Linked DNA regions of Caenorhabditis elegans. The protein of the gene in region 2 purifies or fractionates together with the protein of the main gene of each other region. This does not show direct contact. Each region holds a gene or a part of one and is shown on either strand. Other genes may lie near its edges.

The links.
Region 1: the proteins of Y43F8C.3 (region 2) and eif-3.J fractionate together in Caenorhabditis elegans (co-fractionation; one large-scale study listed by BioGRID). This does not show direct contact.

The regions. Positions count from the first base shown.
Region 1 is NC_003279.8:13,425,402-13,438,466, reverse strand, and holds eif-3.J (Eukaryotic translation initiation factor 3 30 kDa subunit), read right to left. Parts: upstream 2,979-13,065; 5' UTR 2,963-2,978; coding exon 2,542-2,962; intron 1,715-2,541; coding exon 1,632-1,714; intron 893-1,631; coding exon 758-892; 3' UTR 501-757; downstream 1-500. Other genes in the region: spr-5 (Lysine-specific histone demethylase 1), read right to left, coding at 321-399; slc-25A46 (Solute carrier family 25 member 46), read right to left, coding at 4,089-4,176, 4,263-4,382, 4,433-4,668, 6,153-6,483, 7,066-7,214, 7,271-7,328, 7,377-7,670, 9,238-9,382 and 1 more; Y40B1B.7 (Coiled-coil domain-containing protein 86), read left to right, coding at 10,003-10,082, 10,132-10,333, 11,844-11,933.
Region 2 is NC_003283.11:19,615,617-19,628,374, forward strand, and holds the start of Y43F8C.3 (BTB domain-containing protein), read right to left. Parts: upstream 7,011-12,758; 5' UTR 6,731-7,010; coding exon 6,630-6,730; intron 5,333-6,629; coding exon 5,119-5,332; intron 3,781-5,118; coding exon 3,631-3,780; intron 2,810-3,630; coding exon 2,674-2,809; intron 2,575-2,673; coding exon 2,313-2,574; intron 1,334-2,312; coding exon 541-1,333; intron 1-540. Other genes in the region: dyf-19 (Fas-binding factor 1 C-terminal domain-containing protein), read left to right, coding at 9,446-9,478, 9,526-9,648, 9,758-9,826, 10,190-10,434, 11,729-12,067.

The DNA.
Region 1 (13,065 bases), on a different chromosome or scaffold from region 2:
ATTTTTAATGTAAAATTGCCTATTTTTGCCTTAAAAATGGATGAAAAACTGGTTGAGGCTCACACACTACAAACTACAACATTTCTAGCCTCAACCAATTTGAAAGTTGAATTTTAAAGCTTTTTTAGCAGAAAAATATGGAAAACTCAATGGTTTTTTCTTATATTTGGTGTTATTATAGCGCAAAACTGTGATTTTTCTGCTGAAAATCGTGAATTTTCGCTGAAAACTTGGTTGAGGCTCACACTACAAACTACACTCGAGCCTCTACCACCGCCATTTTTATCCAATTTTCTGCACTTTTTCCAGGATTTCCTCACCATTATCATCTATAGACGGCCCCAATTCATCGCCACGTATCTCTTCGTCCAAATACTCGGAACCCGTGTCAGACGACATATCTGAAACGCTAAAAAATCCCTAAAAATCTGCAAAAATTCGAGGTAAAAGTATTAAATTTTCAGACAAAACTGGGGGGAAAGAGCTAACGAAGAGCTGGCTAACACATAGAACTCTTCATTCTGCCAGAAACGGAACAGGGGGTACAATTCAGAAAAAGCGAGGGCGGAAAAACAAGAACAAAAAAAGAACCAAAACGGAAACCCAAGGAGCAAAAAAAAAAATTCCAAAAAAAAAAATTGAAAAAAGATAGTTCACCGTAGTTCAAGACAGAAATGTTGTGTGCTTTTTGACGCAAAAATGATCAGGAAAAATTTTGGGACGCAGGGAGGGGACTAACAAAAATAACAAAAATCAATCAATAATCATCATAATCGTCTTGGTCGTCTCCGTAATCGTCGTACATGCTGTCATTTCCCTTCGTCACTTTCAGCGTTGCCTTCGCGTTCTTTTTGTTGGCAGCTGCAGCTGGTTTTGCGGCGGTGGTGGCCTTCTGGAATGGGAAAATTTGGTAAAAATTGGAGAATTTTGGAGGAAATTTGAATATTTTTTGCGAAAATTCGCAAAAAAATCAACAAAAACCCAAAAAATTTGGGTGAAAAAACCAGAAATTAGATAACTGAGAAAGAATTGTGATTTTTTGAATGAAAACTCGTGAATTTTGAAATTTTTGACAATTTTTATTTAAAATTGACCATTTTTCCCTGTTTGGTAGTAAAAAATACCAAAAAAATTGGCAAAAATCCAAAAAATGTGCGTGGATTTTGAAAAAATCTAAATTTAAATTTGGTTGAGGCTCTGGCTACAAACTACAATATTTCTAGCCTCAACCATTTTTTGAGAATGTTCGAAATTTTGCGAAATTCGCTGAGAAGTGAATTTTTTTGGCTATTTTAGCAGAAAATATGGAGAATATTTTTAAAAAAATCGTGACTTTTCAAAGAAAAATGAAAAAATTTGAATATTTTCAATTTTCAATTGTAATTGATCATTTTTTTGACATGCTTGGCGGTAAAAAATACCAAAAAATTGGCGAAAATCCAACAAATTTGAGTGGTTTCTGAAAAAAATCTAACATTAAACTTGATTGAGGCTATGACTACAAACTACAGAGTCCTCAGCCTCAAACAAGAGTATTTTCTTCCAAATTAATCATTATTTGCTCCATTTTCGCTCAATTTTTCGGAATTTTCGCCTGAAAAATTGTAGTTTGTAGCCTTTTACACACTTACCGCTTTCGTCTTCTCGGCAGTCTTCTTGGCGGCGCTGATCTGTTGAAGGAAGGTGACCATTTTCAGGATTTCGGCGGGTGTCACTGAAAAATTCATCGTTTTTGAGGAGAATTCCTATACAGGCTTAAAATATTCAATTTCCAGAGGATTCCACGAAACAAATCTCAAAAAATCATGATTTTTCATCATTTTCCGATGCTTTTTAGACCATGGAAAATTGGTTGAGGCTCAGGCAACTTTGTAGTTTGTAGCCATAGAGCCTCAACCAAATTTCTTGAAAACGTGATTTTTCGTTTAAAAAATTTTTTTTTTTTCGATTTTCTCAATTAAATCCATGAGGAATTACGGAAAATTTGTATTTTCAAAAGAAAATTGGGCAATCAACTTTGGTTGAGGCTCGCAGACTACAAACTACAAACGTTTCAGCCTCAACCAAAGCAATGGTTGAGGCTGGAAATGTTGTAGTTTGTAGTGTCTGAGCCTCACTCAAAATGAAAATCGGATTTTTCATTAATTTTTTGTGATTGCAATCAATTTTTGGTGTTTTTCGTGGTTTTCAGGTGCAAAATTGACGATTTTTCTCATTTAGAGGCTAGAAATGGTGTAGTTTGAAGTGTGTGAGAGTGGAAATTGTGCAATTTAAAGAAACATCGATTTTTGCCACCTAAAATCACAATTTTCAATAGAAAACTGTTTTTTTTTCTCTCAAATCCGGTAAAATAGTCGAAAAATCTTGAAAATGGGTGAGGCTGACGAAAATGTGTAGTTTGTAGCGAGAGCCTCAGCCAAAGATTTTCGGCACCAAAATTTACAGTTTTCGATATTTTTTTTGGATTTTTCGAGGTTTTAGGAGTAAAAAATAAAAAATCGGTTTTTCCCAAATTTTCGTCTAAAAAATCGAATTACGAACTCTCATCAGTGACGGAAGTGAGAAGTTTTCCAATCATATCTCCATAACAGGATGCTTTACTCCGTGAAGCCAAAAATCCACCGACACGCTCTCCCCAGTACTCGAAATCGGCTTTCGACATGATATTCGCATAGGTCTTCGCTTCGTCAGTGGCTTCAGCAGAATCATCATCTCCGAACAAATCACGAGCCAACGCGAGATCATTTTTCTTCTGTATCGCTTCTTTTTCAGCCGACGTCAGTTCTCGTCCAAGTGATTCCATGGCGAATGTTGGAGCGGCTTTCAGAGTTTTCGGAGCTGCGGGAGCGGCTTTCTGTGGTGGCGGTGGTGCGTCGACGATTTTCACGGGCTCTGGAGCTGGCTCCGCACGCTTGAACGTCGACACCTCGGGCTCGAAATCGTCGTCTTCCCAGTCGGACATTGTTTCCTAGAGTTTTCTGTAATATATTATGTTGAGTTAATTGCGGGAAATGCGAGAAAAAACATGAAAAATTGAAGAAAACTGTTAAAAATTGGTTGGTTGAGGCTCAAATAGTAATGTAGTTTGTAGCCGAAGCCTCAACCAATCCCGCAAAATCATGGGAAATGATAGTTTTTGAGCATTTTCGTCGTGAAAAGTGAGTTTTTCACTAAAAAATTCGAGAAAAACCACAAAAAATTCAATTTTTTCTATCAAAATCAGGCTTTTAGGCATTGAGTGAGGCTCAAATAGTTTTGTAGTTTGTAGCCAGAGCCTCAACCTTCAAAAAAAATTAAAATTACAGAGAAAAAACTAATTTTTCGAGCATTTTTTTCGTTTAAACATGGTTTTTTCTCGATAATTACGATAAAATTCGAAAAAAAATCAGAGAAAATGCAATTTTTCACCAAAACTATCGGATTTTAATGCATTTTCAGGCTTTTCGCTGAATTATTTTAATATTTTCCAAAAATTACAACAAAAAACCCGGGGTTTTGGAAATTTGCCAAATTTCCGACGTTTTAAAACGTTAAAAGCCCCAGAATCCGAGAAAATTGGGCAAAAAGTCACAAAAATAGTTTTCTTCAGTGAATTTTTCGATTTTCAAAGCTTCCGCTTGGTTTTTATTGGATATCTTTGAGGAAATTCGTTAAATATTGCGAAATAATTAGCTGAATCTAGAAATAAAGTGACGTGGAACATCTAGACCTAAAAATGCCTTAAATTCACATTTTCTCGGGAAAAATAGGTGTCACGCATGGTTAAAAGGTTCCTTAACACTTGAAAAAGAAAATATAAACTAAAATACGAAGAAAAACGAGCTAAAAATCAATTAAAATCACCCGAAAAACGAGTTTCAAAATGCAAAAATTTCATCGAAAAAATAAATGGCAGAGTACGCAAACACCGCGCTCGGTGTTTGCGTACAATCGCTTACCGTAGACTAGCTGGGGGAAATCGGGCGGCATAAACACACAGAAATATTCCTATTTAAATAGGAAAATAAATGTAAAATAAACTAAAAAAAACTCGGAAAATTAGGCGAAAATCAATCAAGAGGAATATTTAAATTATGAAATTGAAATTTTCAACCCGAAAATGGGTCTCCAGACGACGGGCGAATGTTCAGTTGGAGCGGCGGCAGGCTTTGGGTCGAATCATGTGTGGCACGAGTTCTGGAAATGATTGAAATTGGATTTTCTTAGAATTTATCGATTTTTCGGGCAAAAAACATTTTTTTATTCAAAATTTCATTGCCTACCTATTCGGCGGGCTTCCGAAAACATTAGGCCTATCAGGCATCTGATAAGGTGACCCAATTTGGCTCACAGTTTCCCCGAAAGTCGGGAATTCTGTGGGGTCCTTTGGCGGTGTTGAATGTCTGAAAAAAAAATCAATTTTTAATGAAAATTTTCCGATTTTTTGACAAACTTTCTCGGTGTGCTCATTGGCGATAAAAGAGCGGCTCCAGCCGACGGGAAACTATTGGAAATTGGCCCGTTGAAGCTGGATTTTGCGGAAATTGGTGGTGTAATCTGGGAGGATTGTACTACTGGATGACCTTGTGTCGCTTTACGAAGAAGCTCGGATCCGCGATCGAAACACGCTCGAACCAGTTGTTGGAGGCCTTGGTGAAGGGAATATTCGAGAAGAACTGCGCCGACACCCTGGAAATTGAGAAAAAATAGACTGAAAAATTAATGAAAATCATTGAAAAATCAGAAAAAAAGAAAAGTTTTGCGAAATTGTTCACTAAATTTATCAATTTAAAAAAATGGTTGAGGCTCAGAGACTACAAACTACAATTTTTTATGGCCTCAACCAAATCTGAATCGATTTTTTAAAAATTTTTAATTCCAAAACTGGAAAAAAATTAAATTTTCTAAATTTTCGTCTAGATTTCTTAAAAAAGTGAAGAAAAATCTAAATAGATAGCATAAATTCTTCAATTTCTGGTTTGGGTGAGGCTCACACTACAAACTACAAAATTCGCTGAGCCTCAACCAATGGGAAACGCTGAAAAATCATTATTTTTGGCGTTTTTTCAGTGAAATCAAACAGAAATAGATTATTTTAAACTATTAATTTAACTTAAATCTGTAAAAAATTATAGAAAAAATCGTATAAATTAGCAATAATCGTGGTTGAGGCTCGGAGACTACAAACTACAAAGTCGGCTGAGCCTCAACCAATTTGTTCAGCCGCGACTACAAACTACAGTTTCGCGAGAAGTCTCGGTTATTTTTACGATTATCTTCTAACTTTATCAATTTCCAGACAAAAATCTTTTTTTTTTTCTGCCAATTTTTCGGAAAAAATGGTTGAGGCTCACACTACAAACTACGACTTTTTATAGGCTCAACCGAAAATGAATAAAATTTACATTTTTGCCAAAATGTTTAATTTTGGAATGTTTTAAAATGCTAAAAATGAAAAAAAAATTCTAAAGAAAAATCAACATTCATAACATCAAAATCTCGATTCTTTTGATTGGTTGAGGCTCACACTACAAACTACAAAATTCGCTGAGCCTCAACCAATGGGAAACGCTGAAAAATCATTATTTTTGGCGTTTTTTCAGTGAAATCACACAGAAATCGATTATTTTCAACTATTAATTCATCTTAAATTATACGATTTATCTGTAAAAATTGATAGAAAAATTATTTAAAATCGTATAAGTTGGCAATAATCGTGGTTGAGGCTCGGAGACTACAAACTACAAAGTTGGCTGAGCCTCACCAATTTACCTGTGCGTAAAAGTAATACAATTCTCTGAAAAATCGTAATTTTTAATCGTTTTTTTTTGTTGTAAAATCTCTCAAAACATTTTTATTTTGGTAGAGGCTCACACTACAAACTACAACTTTTCCACAGCCTCAACCAATTTTTTTTGATAAAAAAAAAGTTATTTTTAAGGTTTTTATGATGAAAATCAACTCAATATGTGTATTTTCTCAATAAATTCCACATTTTTATAAAGAAGTCCTGAAAAAAAAAATTTTCCGTAAAATCCCACTAGAATAATGGTTGAGCATCAGACTACAAACTACAATTCTTGCTGAGCCTCACTCAAGGAAAAATTCGTAAATTTCATTGATTTTTCCTTATTTTTTGCCACATTTCTCAAAAGAAATCCTGAAAAATGTACCGCATAAAGTGCCCAAAAACCTTCCGTTTCAAGAACTTGTCGAACACAATCAAAATAACCGGAATATTTGACAGTCATCGAAACTGCTGATAATCCTGTATCCATATTATCAATAAGTGTTCGTGTTCCTTGAATATACATTCGATGAACAATTGTTTCAAATGGATAAAGTATCAAATCAGTTAACACCATTGATGATGTTTGAGCGAACATTTGGGGCAGGAAATCGTGATAAGTCGTCTTTTCCGCCGGCGATTTTCGGTTTACATATCGTTTCGCCATTCGGAAGAATTGATGGTAAAGGGCCGTTTGGAGCATGTAGTGACCAACTCTAAAAAAAAAAAATTTTTTCAATTTTTGTTGTTGAAAACTGGGATTTATTCGATTTTTCGATGCACAATTCATGAATTGGTTAAGGCTCAGAGACTACAAACTACAAATTTTGGAGCCTCAACAAATTATCTTCGATTTTTGCGAGTTTTCAGCCGTTTTTCAACTTTTTCGAACGAATTTTTCTTTGAAAAACTAGTTTTTTTGAACAAAAATGTGTTTTCCGGCTTTTTATCTTTAAAAAACTGTTCGAAATTTAGTTGAGGCCCAGAGACTACAAACTACACTTCGTTCTCAGCCTCACCAAGTTAAATTTCCTTAAATTTCCAATTTTTCGTTGGAGAATCCGGGAAACATGAAGACATTTTTTAAAATTTTCCCACTGAAATCGATGAGTTTTCACTAAAAAACACTAAAAACCAGGAAAAATCAGTAATTTTCACATATTTTTCCTTGGTTGAGGCTAAACAAAAATTGTAGTTTGTAGTCTGAGCCTCAACCAATTTTTCATATTCTGACCTGATTTTCGCGTATTTTTTCACTAAATTTGGTCATTTTTCGTGATTTTCCAGCAAAAACTCACTGAAATCCCGCAGTTGGAATAGCCAAATGAATAATCGAGAATCTCCTGGACGGATCTCGTCCCGAAGTCAAAAAATATCGCATTCGATCCACACCCTTCACAAGAACATCCAGAATTTTATTGTCTTCACCACCAATTCCGGATTCGCTCTGAAAATTGGATTGTTGAGGCTGAGAGCTTTTGTAGTTTGTAGTTTGTAGCCTACTCGAACAGTTTCAATGAATGATGAGATGTAGAATGGAGTCATTGTTACAAATGTTACTCTGAAAATTATCAATTTTTAATTTTTTTTTTCGTCTTAATTCCGTTACCCCTTCAGAACAATATGTTTCCAATACTTTTCAGCACTTCCATTAACCACAAAAGTACGTGGCAACCCCATAAGATCGCCGAGCACAATTTCCGTAACATTCGTGAGGCCCCAGAGCACACTTGAGCCGATTGCTCCTTTCCAGAATGTCTGAATTCCTTGTTTAGCGACAGAATTACAGATTACAGGAATCAGTGTGACTGGTGTCAGGTGGAGAGATCCAGCGAACTGATGAACTTGACATTGACGGCGGAGCACACCGCATGGATGGGAAATTAGCGATTTTGTGATGACGCTGAAAATTGTGTAGTTTGTAGTGGTATTTTAGGCGGAAAATTGAAAACAAAATCCTTTAAAATCGATTAATTTAAGCGCAAAAAACATTTAAACTCGTTTTTTTCATTTGGGTGAGGCTCAGCGAGAAGTGTAGTTTGTAGTGTGAGCCTCAACGGATTTTGCAGCCATTTTTAAGCCAAAAATAGTCAATTTTCGCCTTTTTTTTTCCTCGAAAATTCTCAATTTTAGTCGATTTTTAGCCGAAAAATTACAATTTTCACGAAATTTGTACTAAAATTCGATAAAAATGGCGATTTTGAGATTGGGTGAGGCTCAGCGAAAGTTGTAGTTTGTAGTGTGACCTCAACGAACTTTTCAGCCATTTTTTGCCAAAAAATACGCAATTTAAAGGGAGAAAATACGAAAATGACAGCATAAAATCAAAATTTTTAATTGAAAACTGCGTTTCTTTAAATTTAAATTCGTAAAATTGATTGAAATCTCGATTTCGAGATTGGGTGAGGCTCAGCGAGAAGTGTAGTTTGTAGTATGAGCTTTAACGGATTTTGCAGCCATTTTTAAGCCAAAAATATACATTTTTCTTTAAAAATTAGCGATTTTCGTCGATTTTCAGCTGGAAAATCACAACTTCGCGCTATAATTCGCTTAGAATGGCGATTTTTTAAAAGGTTTTTGCCCAGAAACACCAAATTTCAACAAATTTCAAATAAAAAATCATTAAAATTTCCATAACCTTAATATTATATATAAAACAACTAAAACCAGCAATATTAAATTGAAAATTCAAATTTCTCAGTTATTTTGGCGAAATTTCGAGCATTTTCAAAATGGTTGAGGCTAGAAATGTTGTAGTTTGTAGTCTGAGCCTCAACCAAATCAGATTTTTCGGTTTTTTTGGGGAGCTTGTGTGATTTAAAGGGAGAAAATACGAAATTGACCACATAAAATCTGAATTTTTAATTGAAAACTGCATTTGTAAAAACTTAAATTCGTAAAAATTTATTGAAATCTCGATTTGAAGATTGGGTGAGGCTCAGCGAGAAGTGTAGTTTTTAGTGTGAGCCTCAACGAATTTTTCAGCCATTTTTAACCAAAAATAGACCATTTCTTCGAAAATTCTCAATTTTAGTCGATTTTCAGCTGAAAAATTATAATTTTCATGAAATTTGTACTAAAATTCGATAAAAACGGCGATTTATTTGAGTTTTTCCCAAGAAACTACAAATTTAACATAAAAATCATTGATTCTTTAAAAATAATTTCCACATTTTTTCGCTAAAACAACTAAAACCAGCAATATTAAGTTGAAAATTCAAATTTCTCAGTTATTTTGGCGAAATTTCGAGCATTTTCAAAATGGTTGAGGCTAGAAATGTTGTAGTTTGTAGTCTGAGCCTCAACCAAATCCGAGAATGAGGGAATTATATCGAAAAAGCATATTTTTTTGCAATTTCGACAAAAAAACTAGTTTTTAAAACACATTTTTTGACAGTTTTCATCAATAATTTGATAATTTTTTTCTTTTTTTTTGGTTGAGGCTGTGTAGTTTGTAGTGTAATCCTTACTCGGAGAGCCCAAGGAGTGCTCCGGCCAGCGGATCAGTTGTCGCTTTTCCCGGTGGTGGCGAATGATTCTGGAAATTTTGGTGTGAACTGTGCTCGGAATACCCTGACGCTGTTGAAGGAAGCTGGTGGGAAGATGATGAAAAATCTGAAAAATTCGGCTTTTTGTATTTTTCTAGATTTTTATAACCCGAATGAAGTATTTTAACGATTTAAAATCCAAAAACTCACCATTTTGATACTGGAAGTCATCAATATCATTGTTAGTTCCTTGTGGGAACGCAGACCGGTTCCTAATGAATTGTGTAGGCATTTTGGGCCTGAAATGTGAAATTTTAAAACAAAAATCTGAATTTTCGGCAAAAAATGAGTTAAAATACCCGGAAAAACGCTGAAAATCAAGAAAATTGGATTAAAAAACAAAAAAAAAATTGAGCGCCCAAAAATAATGCAAACGCGCCCCACTGGCCAAAGACATTTCTCAACGAAATTCAATACTTTTTTCTTTAATTTTTCATCTTTAACTTGATTTTTAGATCGTTTTTAGTTATTTTTCACTTTAAAAAAATTAAAAATTAAAATTCTGCGTATTTTAAACCCTAAAACCCCCGAAAATAATGACAATTTGGGTCTGAAAAAGTAGAAAACGTCAAAAAGTGAAAACGCATTGTTTTTTGTCCAAATTTCGCATTTTTTCGTGATATTCCTGGCTGAAATTGCATTTTTGGCCCTTTAAAACATTTTAAATATTGATTTTCCAGGTAAAAAATGTCAACTGGCGCAAATCTTCTCGTCATGAACGACACATGCAAGTCAAATCGTTGGTGGAAGACGAAACAGGAGAAAAAGTTCGTTTTTTATTGAATAATCCCCCTGAAAACTCCAAAAAATTTGCAGGCACTCTGAAATCAAAAAGGTGAAGACCCTAAAATCCACGTGGGACAAGAAAATGGAGTTGAAAGCGAAAAAAGATATGGTCAAAAGGGTTCAGGACAATATTCGAGAGAAACAAGTACAAGAACGACAAGAAAAGAAGGAAAGAAAAGTGGAACAGGAGAAGCGACGGCTGGAAAACGAGAGAAAGGCTGAAATTGTGCAGGTTCGTAGCTGGAATAGTAGGCTACAAACTACACGAATTTCTGAGCCTCAACCAATTCGTTTCTATTCGAAAATGCCAATTTACGAAGCTTAAATCGCTTGTTAAATCCTATAAATCCTAAAAATTCGTTAAAAAAGCTTGCCGGATTGGTTGAGGCTCAGACTACAAACTACAAAACCGGCCGATCCTCAACCAACCTTCAATGACCTAAAAATCATCGGATAACGCTGAAAAATCATGATTTTTTGTGTTTTTTTTCGTGAAATTCCTTGAAAATTGAATATTTTGAAGGATTGTTCTATAAAAACTACCAAAAAATACATGAAAAACCGATCTAGTCTTAGTTGAAGCTCAGACTACAAACTACAAGGCTGGCTGAGCCTCAACCAAACTTTTTTGGCTTGAAAACACTGAAAAATCATGATTTTTTGCGTTTTTTTTTTGAAAAACCAATTATAAATCAAAATAGTATTATTACAACGCATAATTTGAAGTTTTTTCCTGCAAAAATTCATTGAAAACCTGCTCAAATTGTCTATAATTTTTGGTTGAGGCTTAGACTACAAACTACAAAATAAGTTAGCCTCAACCAACCTTTCCATGGCGTAAAAAGCATCGGAAAACGCTGAAAAATCATGATTTTTCGAGTTTTTCTCGTGAGTTCCGTTGGAAATTAGATATTTAGCTTGAATTAAGGAATTTCTCGGTAAAAATTATCAAAATTTTACAAAAAAACCGCAAAAAAGAGAGGGTGAGGCTTAGGCTATAAACTACAAAGTTGACTAAGCCTCAACCAAACTTTTCTGGCTTGAAAACACTGAAAAATCATGATTTTTCGAGTTTTTATTCTGGAAAAACCAACAATAAATCAAAAATTTATTACTATAACGCACAATTTGAAGATTTTTCCTGCAAAAATTCATGGAAAACCTGCTCAAACTGTCTATAATTTGTGGTTGAGGCTTAGACTACAAACTACAAAATAAGTTAGCCTCAACCAACCTTTCCATGGCGTAAAAAGCATCGGAAAACGCTGAAAAATCATGATTTTTCGAGTTTTTCTCGTGAGTTCCGTTGGAAATTAGATATTTAGCTTGAATTAAGGAATTTCTCGGTAAAAATTATCAAAATTTTACAAAAAAACCGCAAAAAAGAGAGGGTGAGGCTTAGGCTATAAACTACAAAGTTGACTAAGCCTCAACCAAACTTTTCTGGCTTGAAAACACTGAAAAATCATGATTTTTCGAGTTTTTTTTCCGTGAAATTCCTTGTAAATTGAATATTTAGCTTGAATTAAGGAGTTTCTCTGAATAAATTATCAAAATTTTGCAAATAAAAACCGACAAAAGACTTGGTTGAGGCTGAGACTACAAACTACAAAGTCAGCTGAGCCTCAACCAACCATTTTAGCGGTTAAAAAACGTTCAGGAGCTGCTTTTTCTTCGGAAAGTATAAGAAAGTTCTTGATAAAAAACATTTATATCAACTACAAACTACATTATTCTTTCAGAAAATCACGAAAATCCACAAGCTGAAAAAGACGAAGAAACGCCAGCTCCGCTCCATTCAAATGCGTGATACTACACAAGTGACCAAGTGATTCCAAATAATTTTTTTGTTGATTTTCATTCATTTTCCGTTGTTCTTGTTGTCCATTTTCATTAATAAAAAAGTGTTTCGAAAAAAAAAATGTTCGTGCCAAAAATCAGAAAATTTATTGGATAAAAAATCTCGAAATTATTGCGAAATCGGGGGGATTTATAGCGATCATCTACTCATATTAATGAAATTATTTATAATTTTGAAAATAACTTTGGAAAAAAATCGGAAAAAAAATAGCTATGGTTCTAGGCCTCAAATTATGTCAAAAAAAATTCAAAATTTTACGAAAAGTTCAATTTTCCCCAAAAAATTATCCACCGGCCACCGAATCATACATATAAATGGACTCTAGGACGTTTTAAACATTGTTTCACGGAATAACAGCTTTCAGAATCGAATTTTCCAGTGAAAAATGCACACAGTAGCTCCTCGGAATCGTGAACTGCTCGGCGAGCCTCAACAGGATAAATTATGAATAAATTATTCATTATACAAAAATATGTGAAAATATATTTTATTTGACAGTTCAAGAATATTACACAATCAATGACACTTGGAACAGAACTTTAATTTCTGTGTGGGGACCGAATAGTTTCACATTCACCATTGCTTTCTTCTCATAGCCACATCTTATAACAATTCCAGTATTTTGTTTCAGTATGTACTCATTGAAACACAAGTTATACGTATACAAATTTATACGGCCAAATGTTTTTACACTGTGTTGTATTGTCGATCAGGGGTGTGCGGATAATAGCCGATTTAGCCGTATTTTCGCCGATCGGCTAATTCGGCTAACTCGGCTAATATTAGCCGAATTATCCGTTAGCCGACTTTTTGGCAGTTCGGCTAATACGTAGTTATCCGTTTGCCGATTTTGGCCGATGTTAGCCGAATTCGCCGATCGGCTATTTCGGCTAATTCAACTAACATATTTTTTTGGAAAACAAAATGTGGTGAATTTGTATGATTTTTTCCTATTTGAACAGTCGTTCATCCCTGAATTTGCTCAATAACAGTGAAAAAATTAACCCAAAACCTGAATTAACAGAATGGACAAAAATAGCTTAACCAAATGAATATTTTCCGAATTAGCCGAATTAGCCGAAAATTAGCCGATTTGAATGACT
Region 2 (12,758 bases):
ATACGTTTGGCTAAATAATACCATTTTCATACTAGGGTACTGTAGATTAGGCTCCGCCCACTTTTAACACAATATTTTCAAATTTTAGTTAAAAAAATAAATTATTACAATATTGGAAAAAAAATTAAAAAATTTTATTATTACGCACTCGTCAAAAATTTGAACCACTGATTTTGACGAATGTGTAATAATTTTTTTTTTTGGAAATTTCAGAAAAAATTCAAATTTTCAGTCAATTTTTGGCGGGAGTTTCAAATTTTCACTTAATTTTCAGCGGAAAATTCGAATTTTCAGTCAATTTTTGGCGGGAATTTCAAATTTTCACTTAATTTTCAGCGGAAAATTCGAATTTTCAGTCAATTTTTGGCGGGAAATTCAAATTTTTAGTCAATTTTTGGCGGGAATTTCAAATTTTTAGTCAATTTTTGGCGGGAATTTCAAATTTTCACTTAATTTTCAGCGGAAAATTCGAATTTTCAGTCAATTTTTGGCGGGAAATTCATAATTTTAGTCAATTTTTCGCCAAAAGCCCAAACCAACCTTCAAATCCGTGAGCATAAACTCCTCAGCCAACCATTTCTTATCTCCAAAGCTCATATTCTTACAGCTCCACAGTTGCCTCTGCAGGCTCTCCATAACACTTTTCGCACAAATCCGATCCGCAAAATCCAGCACCCGCGAGATTTCCACATCATTCAGCGGGAGCCGGCGATTGTACAGCACCTGGAGCCCAAGCTTCAAGGTAGGCAGATGCTCGTAGGTTAGGTTAACGGTACGCTCGTAGCCTTCACGGAAGTTTTTCGAAAAGAGCCCCGAAAAGTACTGAGAGCTGTGAGCCAGAAATTCACGGTTCACCTCGATCAGCTGACCTTCACAGCGGAGGAAGCAATTGGTCAAGCCTGGCATTTTCAGCCGCGGCTTCTGCAATTTGCTGAAGTCTAGGTCGTCATCCTCCTCGTCATCAGATACCATGTCATGATTCTCGATCCAGTTGATCTCCATCAGTAGGGCCCCATCTTCGTCGAGGTATTGGCAGAGGTGGTCGAAGTAGGCGAAGATCGGTGTCCCCACGATGGTATACTCGTCGTCGCGGATCCTTTGGATCCGGTCACTGTGTAAGCGGCGCCCGTTCTCATTGATGACGTGAATGTCGATGTCGAAGTACTTGACACGTTGATCTTCCGAGTAGACCGACTCGTCGTCGATCACATTCACATCCTCCTCGTCGTCGTCGTCGTCGCTGGTGGTGGCGGAGGTGGATGGGCGGCTCATTTGGAAGCCCAGGGAGACGTACTTCTCGCCTAGGATCTCCTGGGTGTAGGTGTAGATAATGCTGGAAAAATTGGAATTTCGCAAAAAAAAATTTTTTTTGCAAAAAAAAATTTTTTTTTATTTTTTTTATTTTTTCGCAAAAAAAGTCCTGTAAAAAACTTTGAATAGACTTTAGGAGTTTTACACTAAAAATTTGGATTCTACGCAAAATTTGCAAAGTTTTGACACCCATATTGACCCTATTTGGTAAAAGTCGAAATTTGGGCCGAAATAGGCCAAAAATAAGCCGAAAATTGAAAATTTTCGGAAACAAGACCAAATTTGCAGGTGTGGGACTTTGACACTGAAAATTTTGAAATTTACGCAAAAATTTGCAAATTTTTGACACTTATATTAGCTATATCCTGGAAAAATCAAAAAATTTTTAATTTGGGCCGAAATAGGCCAAAATTAGGCCAAAAAATGAAATTTTGGAAATAAACTATTTTTTGAATTTTTCAACATGTGTTATTAGCAAATAAAATAAAATTTTGACTTTCAGCAAAATTTCCGAAAAAGAGACATCCAAAAACAAAATTGTGTGCCGAAATAGTCCGAAATTAAGCCAAAATAAAAAAAAACTATATTTTTCGTGTTGCTTGATAATTTCCAAAAATTTTATTGCCCGAAAACGCAGAGAACTGCAAAATTCGATTTTTGCTCAATGTGGCCTACTTTGGCCTAATTTGGCCTATTCTGGCCTATTTCGGTCCGAAAATTCTAATTTCAAATTACATAGTCAATATGGGTTTTGATATTTTCGGAATTTTTTCAAGTATTAAATCAAAATACTGGTATTTTGATTTTCGGCCTATTCTGGACTATTTCGGCCTATTTCGGCCCGAAAATTCCACTTTGACAGAACATAGTCAATATGGGTGTCATTATTTCAGAAATGTTGTGGAGAATTCAAATTTTTGAATAAAAAAGTACCAAATTTGAAAACAAAAAAGTTGAGACCCAAATTTTCCAAAAAAATTTGAATTTCTCGGCCCCCTCACCAATTCCGATTCTGCTCCTCCCATGTGACCATCAAATTCTGATTTTTCGGCAGTGTTGACGGCCCGATCAACTCGAAATCATCAATAGCCCATTTCAAAGTTGTGTTGAACTCAAATTTCACGGGTTCCTCGTTGGGCTCCGCCACAATTTCCACGGGGTCCAGGCGGTGCATAAGTTGGCTGAATTCACGGTTCAAAGATTTTCCCCAGATGTCGAAGCCGAATTTTCGAGCAATTGGGATTAAATGGATCATACGGTCGGCTGAAAAAAATTTTGGATTTTTTTGAAAGTAAAAAAAATTGGAAAATTTTTTTTTTTGATTTTTTGGATTTTTTTTAAAGTTTTTGATAAGTTTCTTACCTTCCAACTCCCATCTGTTCTGAAAAATGCCAAAAATGTCCACAAGATCTTCAAATTCCACGTCACCAACGTCATACTCCTTGGTCTCCTCGTTCTCGAAGAGATAGCCCAGCAATGGACACCGACGCTTCACGTACTGAAATTTGTTCGTTTTAATGTGAAATAACAAATAGAAAAAAATTTTTGAGCCTAGCGGGGGTCGAACCAGGGTCTTCAGATTAGTAGGCGAGCATGTTAGCCACTGAGCTACTTGGTTTTTTTTTCAATTTTGATTTTTTAGGCTCGAAGCTGAAAAATTGGAGTTTGAAATATACTTTTGCAAGAACCTCATTTAGTCTGGAATCCAAAAATCTTAGATCAAGCTTAAGGCCCAGTGTTAGGCCTATTTTAGGCCTAATTTAGGCCTGAAACTAAAAAAATCGAACTTTGTGAAATGAATGTTAAATCAGCATTTTATTTCTGGTTGATTTTGAAAGTTGAGACTAAAATTGTGAACGAAAGCCTTTTTGGGCCGACAAGGCCACAGTAGGCCCGAAAATTAGGCCAAAATTTCGATTTTAGATTTATTTGATATAGGGGTCAGATCATATCTAATTTTTTGCGCTGATTTCGAAAATTAGATCGAAAGTTGCGCAAAAATGTTTTGAACCAAGATATGGGCCGATTAGGCCCAAAAAATTGGCCCAAACCTCAAAATTTTGGATTTTACAATTTGGGTGTTGAATCATATCCAAATTTTATGTTGATTTCAAATTTTCACATCAAGTTTATTTTAAAAAAATATTTGGGCCAATTTATGGCCCAAAAACAAAACTTTAGAAAAAAGCTACAGTAACCCGAATAAAATTTTCTAAAAATTTGAGTGTTATCTCCGATTCGAATCTCTAATTAGTTGCAACGTTATATGATGGAATGTGTCATGATGATTTATGTCAATTTTTTGCCACTCAAACATACCGCCGAGTTGATTTTCAGCTTCCGGTTTCCAGATTTCAGAATGAAGTCGCCGCCGGGGAAATTGATCTCCTTTTCGCATTCGAACGGTTTTTCTGGCTTTTTCTCAGAGTCATTTAGCAATTTGAGCTCTACGACAAACGTCATCTTTTCCTGCAAAAAAAAAATTTTTTGGATTTTTTTTTGGAATTTTTTTTATACTGTTTAGGTAGGGTAAGGTTTTTTTAAACTTTCAGTCATTTTTCCATTAAAAATTCGAACTCCACGTAAAATTTGCAAAGTTTTGACACCCATATTGACTACATTCTGAAACATTGAAAATTTGGGCCGATTTGGGCCGAATTAAGCCGAATTAGGCCGATTCAGGCCGAAAATTCCCTCACGGTGTCTAGCAATGGTAGCTAACCAGTCACTGATTATTCAAAATATTAAAGCCCGAAAGTATTGCAAAACTTGATTTTCGGCCTAATTCAGGCCTATTTCGGCTTATTTCGGCCCAAAACCCAAATTCATCGGAATATAGTCAATATGGGTGTCAAAACTTTGCAAATTTTACGGAGAATTCAAATATTTTAACTACAAATCGATAACTCTAAAAATAAAAAAGTTGGATAATTGGCTCAGTGGCTAACAGCTATGGTTTTGGCCTAGAGGTCGGTGGTTCGAGCCCGGATAGGGTTACAAAATTTTTTCTGAGTGTATATAACACACTTTTCACATTGGAAAGTTAAAACTATGGAGTTTTCAGAATTTTAGGATGAAAAATCTGAAGTATTTGGAAGAAGGCTTCAAGCTCCTGTAACTTCAAAGCTTTTAGGTTTAGCAAAAATTTTCCAACTAACAATTTGTAGCTCAAAACTTCCTCTACATAATGGTTATATTTTTAAATTTTGAAATCACCGTAAATGTTCTATAAGTCTATTACAGTCCCCCCCAACACTTCCATTTTCCCCTTTCGCTTGGAGACGGCCGAATCGATGTTTTTGTCGGGTTTTGGAAGCGAGGAGAGAGCGCACATGACATTTACACACACACATACGCCTAGACATGAGTATTTTTCGGTTTTCTGCGTCTCTTCGTCTTATACACTGTCTCGGCGCTCATGAGATGCGCGCACAAGCTTTTCTAAGCTTTTGGGGGCAGAGAATAGGAAGAGGGAAACGTCGTATATCTATGCAAGTTGAGGAGGTAGAAGGAAATTGTCAACTGAAAAGTTGTAGAGCTTGATGAGCTGGTTATTATGGTAGTTGACAAAATTTTTATATTTCTGATACTGAAGGAGTTACAGACGTTTGAAGTTGGTGGTCCTAGGTACTAGGTACAAATTTTGATTTTCAACTTCAACATGGTATATCTCAATAATGGTACATGCTACAAAAAAGTTATCAACAAACAAAATGTACCTTACATCTTTCTCTACAAGTTCATAGTTGACAATTTTCCCGTATCTCTATCCATCTCTCAGCTGGAGCCTTAGTTCGAGCCCCTTACCTTCTGTTCGGCAATCTTCAACAGGCAAGGATTGACCAATACGGTGTGAGCTCCTCCAAATGTGTACTCCTGCTCCCAGTCAACGACTGGCGGCTCGACCTGATGTGTGCATTTTATTTGCAGCCGAGACACTTGGTTTGGAGTGAGTGCTGCCACGTGGAGAGAGTAGTAGCTGTGATTCTCGCCTTGCTTGCACAGTTTCAGACGGATCGCCCTGAAAATTCAATTTTCAGGTATTGGCACTAAAAAATTTAGATTCTACGTAAAATTTCCGATAATAAGTCCCCCATATCGGCTATAATCTGAAAAGTTGAGATTTTGGGCCGGAATAGGCCAAAATGGGCCGAAACGGGTCCGAGTTTTTCATCAATTTTAAATAGGCTATTATGAATTTAACATTTACTTTATTTTTGTGCTAAACTGCTCTTGAATCGGCAATAATTGGGTATGGCCTAGATTTGGCCTAATTCGGCCTAGATACGGCCTGAAAATCCATTTTACCAGAAACTAGTCAATATGGGTGTCATATTTTCTCAAATTTCCAGGACAATTCAAAAAAGTTAGTCTCGGGCTGAAAAACTTCAAAATAACGGAGTTATGCAAGTGGCTCAGTGGCTAAGACGGATGGCTATGAATCTAGGGGTCGTAGGTTCGACCCCCCGCTAGGCTCAAAAATTTTTTACAGTCTTCAATTGGCTTATGAAAATAGATAAAAGACCTGAAAACTACAAATCCCGATTTAAACGGCCTGTTGGCCAGAGCCCCCTAATTTTTAGACCCTAACTTTCAAAACGCCGTAACTCAAAAACCAAGTGTCCTAGAAAAAAGTTGTCAACGTACAAAATATAGCTGAAAACTAGCTCTACAATTCTTTAGTTGACAATTTTTAATATCACTGATAGTCATTAAGATACACTCTAGCACACCCCCCTCCCCCTTTTCGCGCACCATTGCCCTCCGCAGTCATTGATTTTGTAGGCTCCGATATTGAAAGAGCCGTAACTCTAAATCCACTGCACCTAGAAATAAATTTTCAACTAACAGAATGTAGCTGCAAACTAGCTCTACAAGTTTACTGTTGGCAATTTTTTGATATTTCCTATAGGCGTTGAGATATACCCTATGCTACACCCCCCCCCCCCCTTTTGCGCGCCATTGATTTTCCCGACCCTAGACTTCAAAACGCTGTAACTCTAAAACCAAGCGTCCTACAAAAAAGTTGTCAACTACAACAATGTAGCTTAAAACTAGCTCTATAATTTCTCAGTTGACAATTTTTTGATTCCGCTATTAATCTTTGAGATATACCCTATACTACCTCCCCCTTTGCGCACCATTGATTTTCCCGACCCTAGACTTCAAAACGCTGTAACTCTAAAACCAAACGTAATACAAAAAAGTTGTCAACTACAAAAATGTAGCTGAAAACTAGTTCTACAATTCCTCAGTTAACAATTTTTTGATTGCTCTGATAATTTCCGAGATATACCTATATATACCCCCTAGCTTACCACTCAGTCTTGCCGAGCTTCATCACCGCCTCCTTCTTGACCTGCCATTCGGTTTCTCCGTCGAGCTTGTACTTTACAGGGATCTCCTCTTCATCATCCATGATTGGCGAGCCGATTGCCGAGCCAAGCTCCTCCGGGGGGATTGCCGAGTTTCCGCAAAATAAAGGCGAATATGCCAACTACTAATAACAGACCTTTCTAGTGTGTCAGCTGAGAGGGTATGCAGAGGGGCGCTGGTGAGTGTGTCTCTATGGATGGGGCAAAAGAGATAGGCGGACAACACAGCTGGGAGGGAGTGCCGGAGACGGAGAGACATCAGAGATGCCGAAGCGGCCAGAGAAAGCGAGGCCCGGCTGATCGACTCGCCCTCCCCGCCCCACCCGAACCCCTCACCACCCAAACAATTCCCCGCAACTTCTCCGTCTCTTTTACCGCACTACGACGGCCAATGTGTTCTTTTTTGCGCGCTCAACACACACTCACAAACTCACTCACTCACGCACACTCACAGACACATGAGGCCCGTCTCTCTCACTCGTCTCCGACCAGCAGTCCACCACCGCTTGGCCAATATACATTGAGGGTTTAGATTGTGTCGAATGCTAAAAATTGACTAAAAATTGAGAAAAAACGGTGAAAAATGGGCTTGGCTGCAAAAAGTTGCAAAATTGAATTTTGCACAAGTGGCTCAGTAGGTTACAGGAATGGATTTGGATCGGAGGGTATCGGGTTCGAGCCCCGCTGTGGACGATAATTTTTGCAGAGGCAACTCACTAAGATTTACTTACTTGCAACTTTGCCATACGCCAACAACGATTTTCAGCTAAAATTTTGTCAATTTTAGCCCAGCCTGTTGAATTTTCGTGTGAACCGACAAACTGTAAAGTTAAAAAAATTGCATCTAAAATCAACAAGTTGAAGTTTAGAGCCGAAAAAAAATCAAAATTGGAATTTTTCACGAATGGCGCAGTGGGTAACACGGATGGTTACCACCCAGAAGGTCACAGGTTCGACCCCCCGTTGGGGTCAATTTTTTTTCTTGTTAAATTTGCTAGGATTCATCAATTTAAATGTCATAGAACACAGCTTAACTTTTAAATACAGATTTTCAACTCTAATTTGTTAAATATCAGTCTAAAATCCATAGTTTCCTAACTGAAAAAATAAAAATAACATATAAACCTAAAGTTTTAAGGTCAGAGCAAAAAAAAAGTCAAAATCCCAATTTTGCACGAATGGCGCAGTGGGTAACACAGATGACTACCACCCAGAAGGTCACGGGTTCGACCCCCTGCTAGGGTCAATATTTTTCTTTTTCACTCATACCAAACAATTTTAAAGCATAGTCTATTTGTTGGTTACGGTAGATGCCGATTCGTCCAAATAAAACGGGCAATTTACGATTTTGTTGATGATAAGATCGATGAGAGACGCAGAGACGGCGGCTGGCTACTCGCAAATTAGTAGTGACCGATATGCGGGGGAAAACTGATGATATCAGCTGATAAGGACATCCGGACACACAGAGCAGTTTTGGACTCAATTTGGGCCATGTATGGCATAGAGCCAATAGCGGTGACCAATTTTCCCTAATTTTTTGTGAGTTGTAACTTAAAAATTCAGATTCTCCGTGAAATTTGGATAGTTTTAACACCCATATTGGCTAGGTTTGAGCAACTTAAATATTTGGGCCGAAATAGGCTGAAATGAACCGAATTCAGGCCTAATATAGGCATGTTCCAAGTCATGATAGTTTTTAACTGCGTTGTCTTTAGCTTTAGAGTTTAAAAAAAATTTTGACTCTAGCGGGGGGTCGAACCCGTGGCCTTCTGGGTCATAGCCATCCCTGTTACCGACTGCGCCACTTGGTCGAAATTTTATTTTTTATCTTTTATTGCCAGAAGAATTATTTTAGGGCATTTTTCAAAGTTTCTGGCGTCAAAATATTGAAATTTTGGGTCGAACTATCCAAAAAACCGGTAAAATTCGAAAAACCCTTTGACAGATTCAAGATCTTAGTAAAAACTGCAAAATGTTACTTGCACACTTTCAAAAAATAATTAAATGTGTGAAACGCAATTGAAAAAAAAATGGCTACGCTGGGGGTCGAACCCGTGACCTTCTGGGTGCCAGCCATCTCTGTGACCTACTGCGCCATTTGAGCAAAAATTTTATTTTCCAACTTTTTTGTGTAATAACTCAAAATTCACGGTTAAAAGCGAATTTTATCGCAAAATCTGCCAATTTTTGTTCCGCAAGTCGTTGTTTTTCAAATTTCCACTGAGTTTTCCTTGTTTACCCCCCTTTCCCCTATGCCCCCTAGGTTCCCCGGGTAATCATTTGTTATCAGCGAGGTCTGCTATACATTTCCCTATTATTTCCGTCTCCAGCTTCTTTCTTCCTCTGCAAACTCTCGAAGCTTCTGCCCCAGTCGGTTACTATGGCAACCCCCTTCTTTAAGCTTCACCCCCTTCGTCCCGCTTAGACCCTTTATTCTCGATTTCCCGCATTTTATTATGTTTTTACTGAAATTTTTAGGTTTTAGGTATTAGAAATAGGTTGGTTAAAAAGTTTTGGAAAAGTTTAGTGAGTTTTGGAAATTTTTAGAATTTTTTAGAGCTAATTTTCGATTTTCCTGGAAATTATGTCCGATTTTGCGGTTTTTTGCAAATTTTTTGACCAAAACCTTGAAAAAAATGATTTTTTGTTAGTTAAAATTAGTTTTAGAAACGTTTTTTGAAAAATTTTTTTTTGGCATTTTTTCGAAAAAAAATGTTTTTTTCAAAAACAAAAAAAATTTTCCAGATTTCTCGTGTATGTCAGACGATGAGTGGGGAGATTTATTAGATGTGCGTTTTCAGCATATTTTCAAAAAAAAATTCGATATTTTATTCAGAATTTAGACACCGAACCACCCCAGCCAGCACCACCACCTCCCCCCAATTTGCCGGGAAATTCGAAAAATTCGCGGCCGAAAAGTAGTGGACTAGATTTTTTATTGGACTCTGACTTGGATAAGGTGATTTTGTGACTTCTTTTTGGGAAAAAACTGCGAAAAATCCAAAAAAAAAAGGCTTTTGGCCTATTTTGGCCTGAATTTTGGATGATGCTATAAGACTGATTTTCAGGAACCGCAGGCACCTAAAACTGTAAATTTTGCAACAAACCGGGAAGAAAATACATCTGAAATGAGAGCGGTAAGTTTAAAAAAAAAAATGTTTTTTGAAAATTTTTTTATTTTTTTTCTTGACCCAAATTTTTCTAAAAATCTGTATTTCAACGTTTTTATCTTACCTTAAGCTTTAAAATGACACCCATATCGCCTATACCCCGTTAATTTTCATTTTTGGATCAACTTTTGGGTGCCTACAGTATCCTCGTGGCGGGACCCTAAACATCAAAATTACGGGATTCTAAGCAATATTGGGGTTATTTGAAAGCTGGTAATATCATAAATGGCCTATCGAAGAGTAACATTCCAAAAATAAGACATTTTTCAAAAAAAAAATTTTTTTCAAAATTTCGAAAAAAAATTATTTTTCAAAATTTCCTAAATTCAGGCTGGTCGTTCTACAAATGCTCTCAGCGACCTATTTGGCACAAGCACGGGCTCTGGGCTTGGAGCATCAGGTGCGGCGTCGGCTCCACGGAGACCCGCAGGCGCCTCCACCCTCGACGACCTTTTTGGCACGGCGCCAAGAGCTGCTACAGTAACCCCAGGGGTTACTGTAGCCGCTCCGGCGGCTTCACAGCCAACGGCTACTGCTCCACCACCGGATAATTTTGATGCGGGAAGGATTTTGAGGTAAATTTGAAATTTTCGAAAAAAATTTTTTTTTCAAAAATTCAAAAAAAACTTAATTTTTAATTTTTGTTAATTTTCGTTACTTTATCACTTTCAGCTCACTGAGAGCTTTAAAATGACACCCATATCGGCTATACTACCCTAATTTTTCAAAATTTGGGCATTCTTCGAGTACCTACAGTACCCTTCGTAGCGGGACCCAAAAATCGGAAATTAGAGGACTATGGGCATAATGGATGTTATTTTGAAGCTAAAAAGCTGAAAAATGAGATAAATCAAACAAAAATTATCTGAAATCGATAATTTTGAGAAAATTTCAAAATTTAACGTTTTCGAAAAACACATTTTTTGAATTTTTTTCAAAAATTCGAAAAATTTCAAATTCAAATTTTTGTTCGTTTTTTGATATTTTATCGCCTTCAGCTCTCTGAGAGCTTCAAAATAACACCCATATCGGCTAGTTTCCGTCATTTTTCAAAATTTTAGAATATTTCGGGTGCCTACAGTACCACTCGTGGAGGGACCCAAAATCCAAAAACTAGAGGGTTCTGAGCATTATTGGGGTTATTTTGGAGCTGAAAACGTGAAAAATCGATCAAAAATAAATACTTTAATCATAAATCAATAAATATTGAGAAAATTTTGAAATTAAAAATTTTCGAAAAAAAAAATTTTTTGAAATTTTTTTTTCAAAAATTCAAAAAAAAATTTTAATTTTTAATTTTTTTAAATTTTGGCTATTTTATCACCTTCAGCTCACTGGGAGCTTCAAAATGACACCCATATCGGCTATACTACCCTAATTGTTCAAAATTTGGGCATTATTCGGGTACTACAGTACCCCTCGTGGCGGGACCCAAAATCCAAAAATTAGAGGATTATGGGCATAATTGGTGTTTTTGATGCTGAAAAATAGAGAAATCAATAAAGTCGATAGGAAATCAGCTTTAAAAAAACTTTCTTTGAAATTTTTTTTTCAAAAATTCAAAAAAAGTTATTTTTTAATTTTTGGTAATTTTGTTTTTTTTTCAGTATTTTATCACCTTCAGCTCACTGAGAGCTTCAAAATAACACCCATATCGGCTAGGTTCCGTCGTTTTTTTTTTAAATAAGAGCATAATGGATGTTTTTTTAGGCTAAAAAATGAAAAAATCGATAAAATCGATAGGAAATCAGCTAAAATCGGTAATTTTGAAAAAATTTTGAAATTCAAAATTTTTGGAAAATTTTTTTTTTAATTTTATATCAAAAATCAAATTCTGGAACAAATTTCTCAATTTTTTTCAAATTTCAGACTAGAAGCCGAGCTAGAACGTGTAAACCGTGAGCTTGAAGACACAAAACGCAAGAAACGAGAAGACGAGGAAGATTTGGAGAATTTCTGGAAAACCAAGCTGGAAATCCAGTCAAAAGACTCGGAAAAGGCACTGGAAGACTCAAAAACTGCACAAAGAGCACAAATTTCAAAGCTTCAAGATGAGCATCACGTGGAGCTCGAAAGGCTTAAAGCCAATTACGATAGGCAGCTAGAGAATGTGACGTCATCGACGAGTCAGGTTGGGGATCTAGTGGCAGTGGTGGGGAAAGTGGATACAATTTCTACGAATATTGATAAAATTGCGGCGGATGTGGTGTAAGTTGACTATGTGCCTTTAAAATTGAAAAATATTAAAAAATCGGTTTAAAAAATTTTAAAAATCGAAAAATTCGCCCCAAAACTTCAAAATTTTAAAATTTTGAGCAGATTTTCTGATTCTCCGTGCAAAATTACCCCTAACCCTCAATTTTCAGATTCAGATTTTTTGTGCAACTTTGCGTCAAATCCGGTGTCTTGAGTTACTGTACCTCGGTGTTTGCGTACCTGACACCTGATTTTACGGAATTTTGAGTTAGAGCTCTGAAAAATTAGGGAAAGAGGTAGTTTGGCATGGGTAATCTGGAAAATTATATAAAAATTTCAGGAAGTTTTTGGAAAACGCTGAAATTTTAGTAAAATCCAAAAAAGGTCAAAAATTCACAAACCAAGTGCGCAAACTTGGCCCAAAATTCAAAATGTTTGAATTTTGAGCTCATTTTCTGATTCTCCGTGCAAAACCACTCCTAGGCCTCAATTTTCAGATTTTTAGTGCAACTTTGCGTCAAATTTGGTGTGTTGGTACCTTCAGTAGTACCTTGGTGTTTGCGGACTGGACACCTGATTTTACGGAATTTTTGAAATTTTCGGGATAGGGGTAACTTGGCATGGGGAATCTGAAAATTCACACAAAAATTTATGAAACTTGAAAAAAAATCTTGAAATTTTAGAAAAAACAATTCAAAAATTA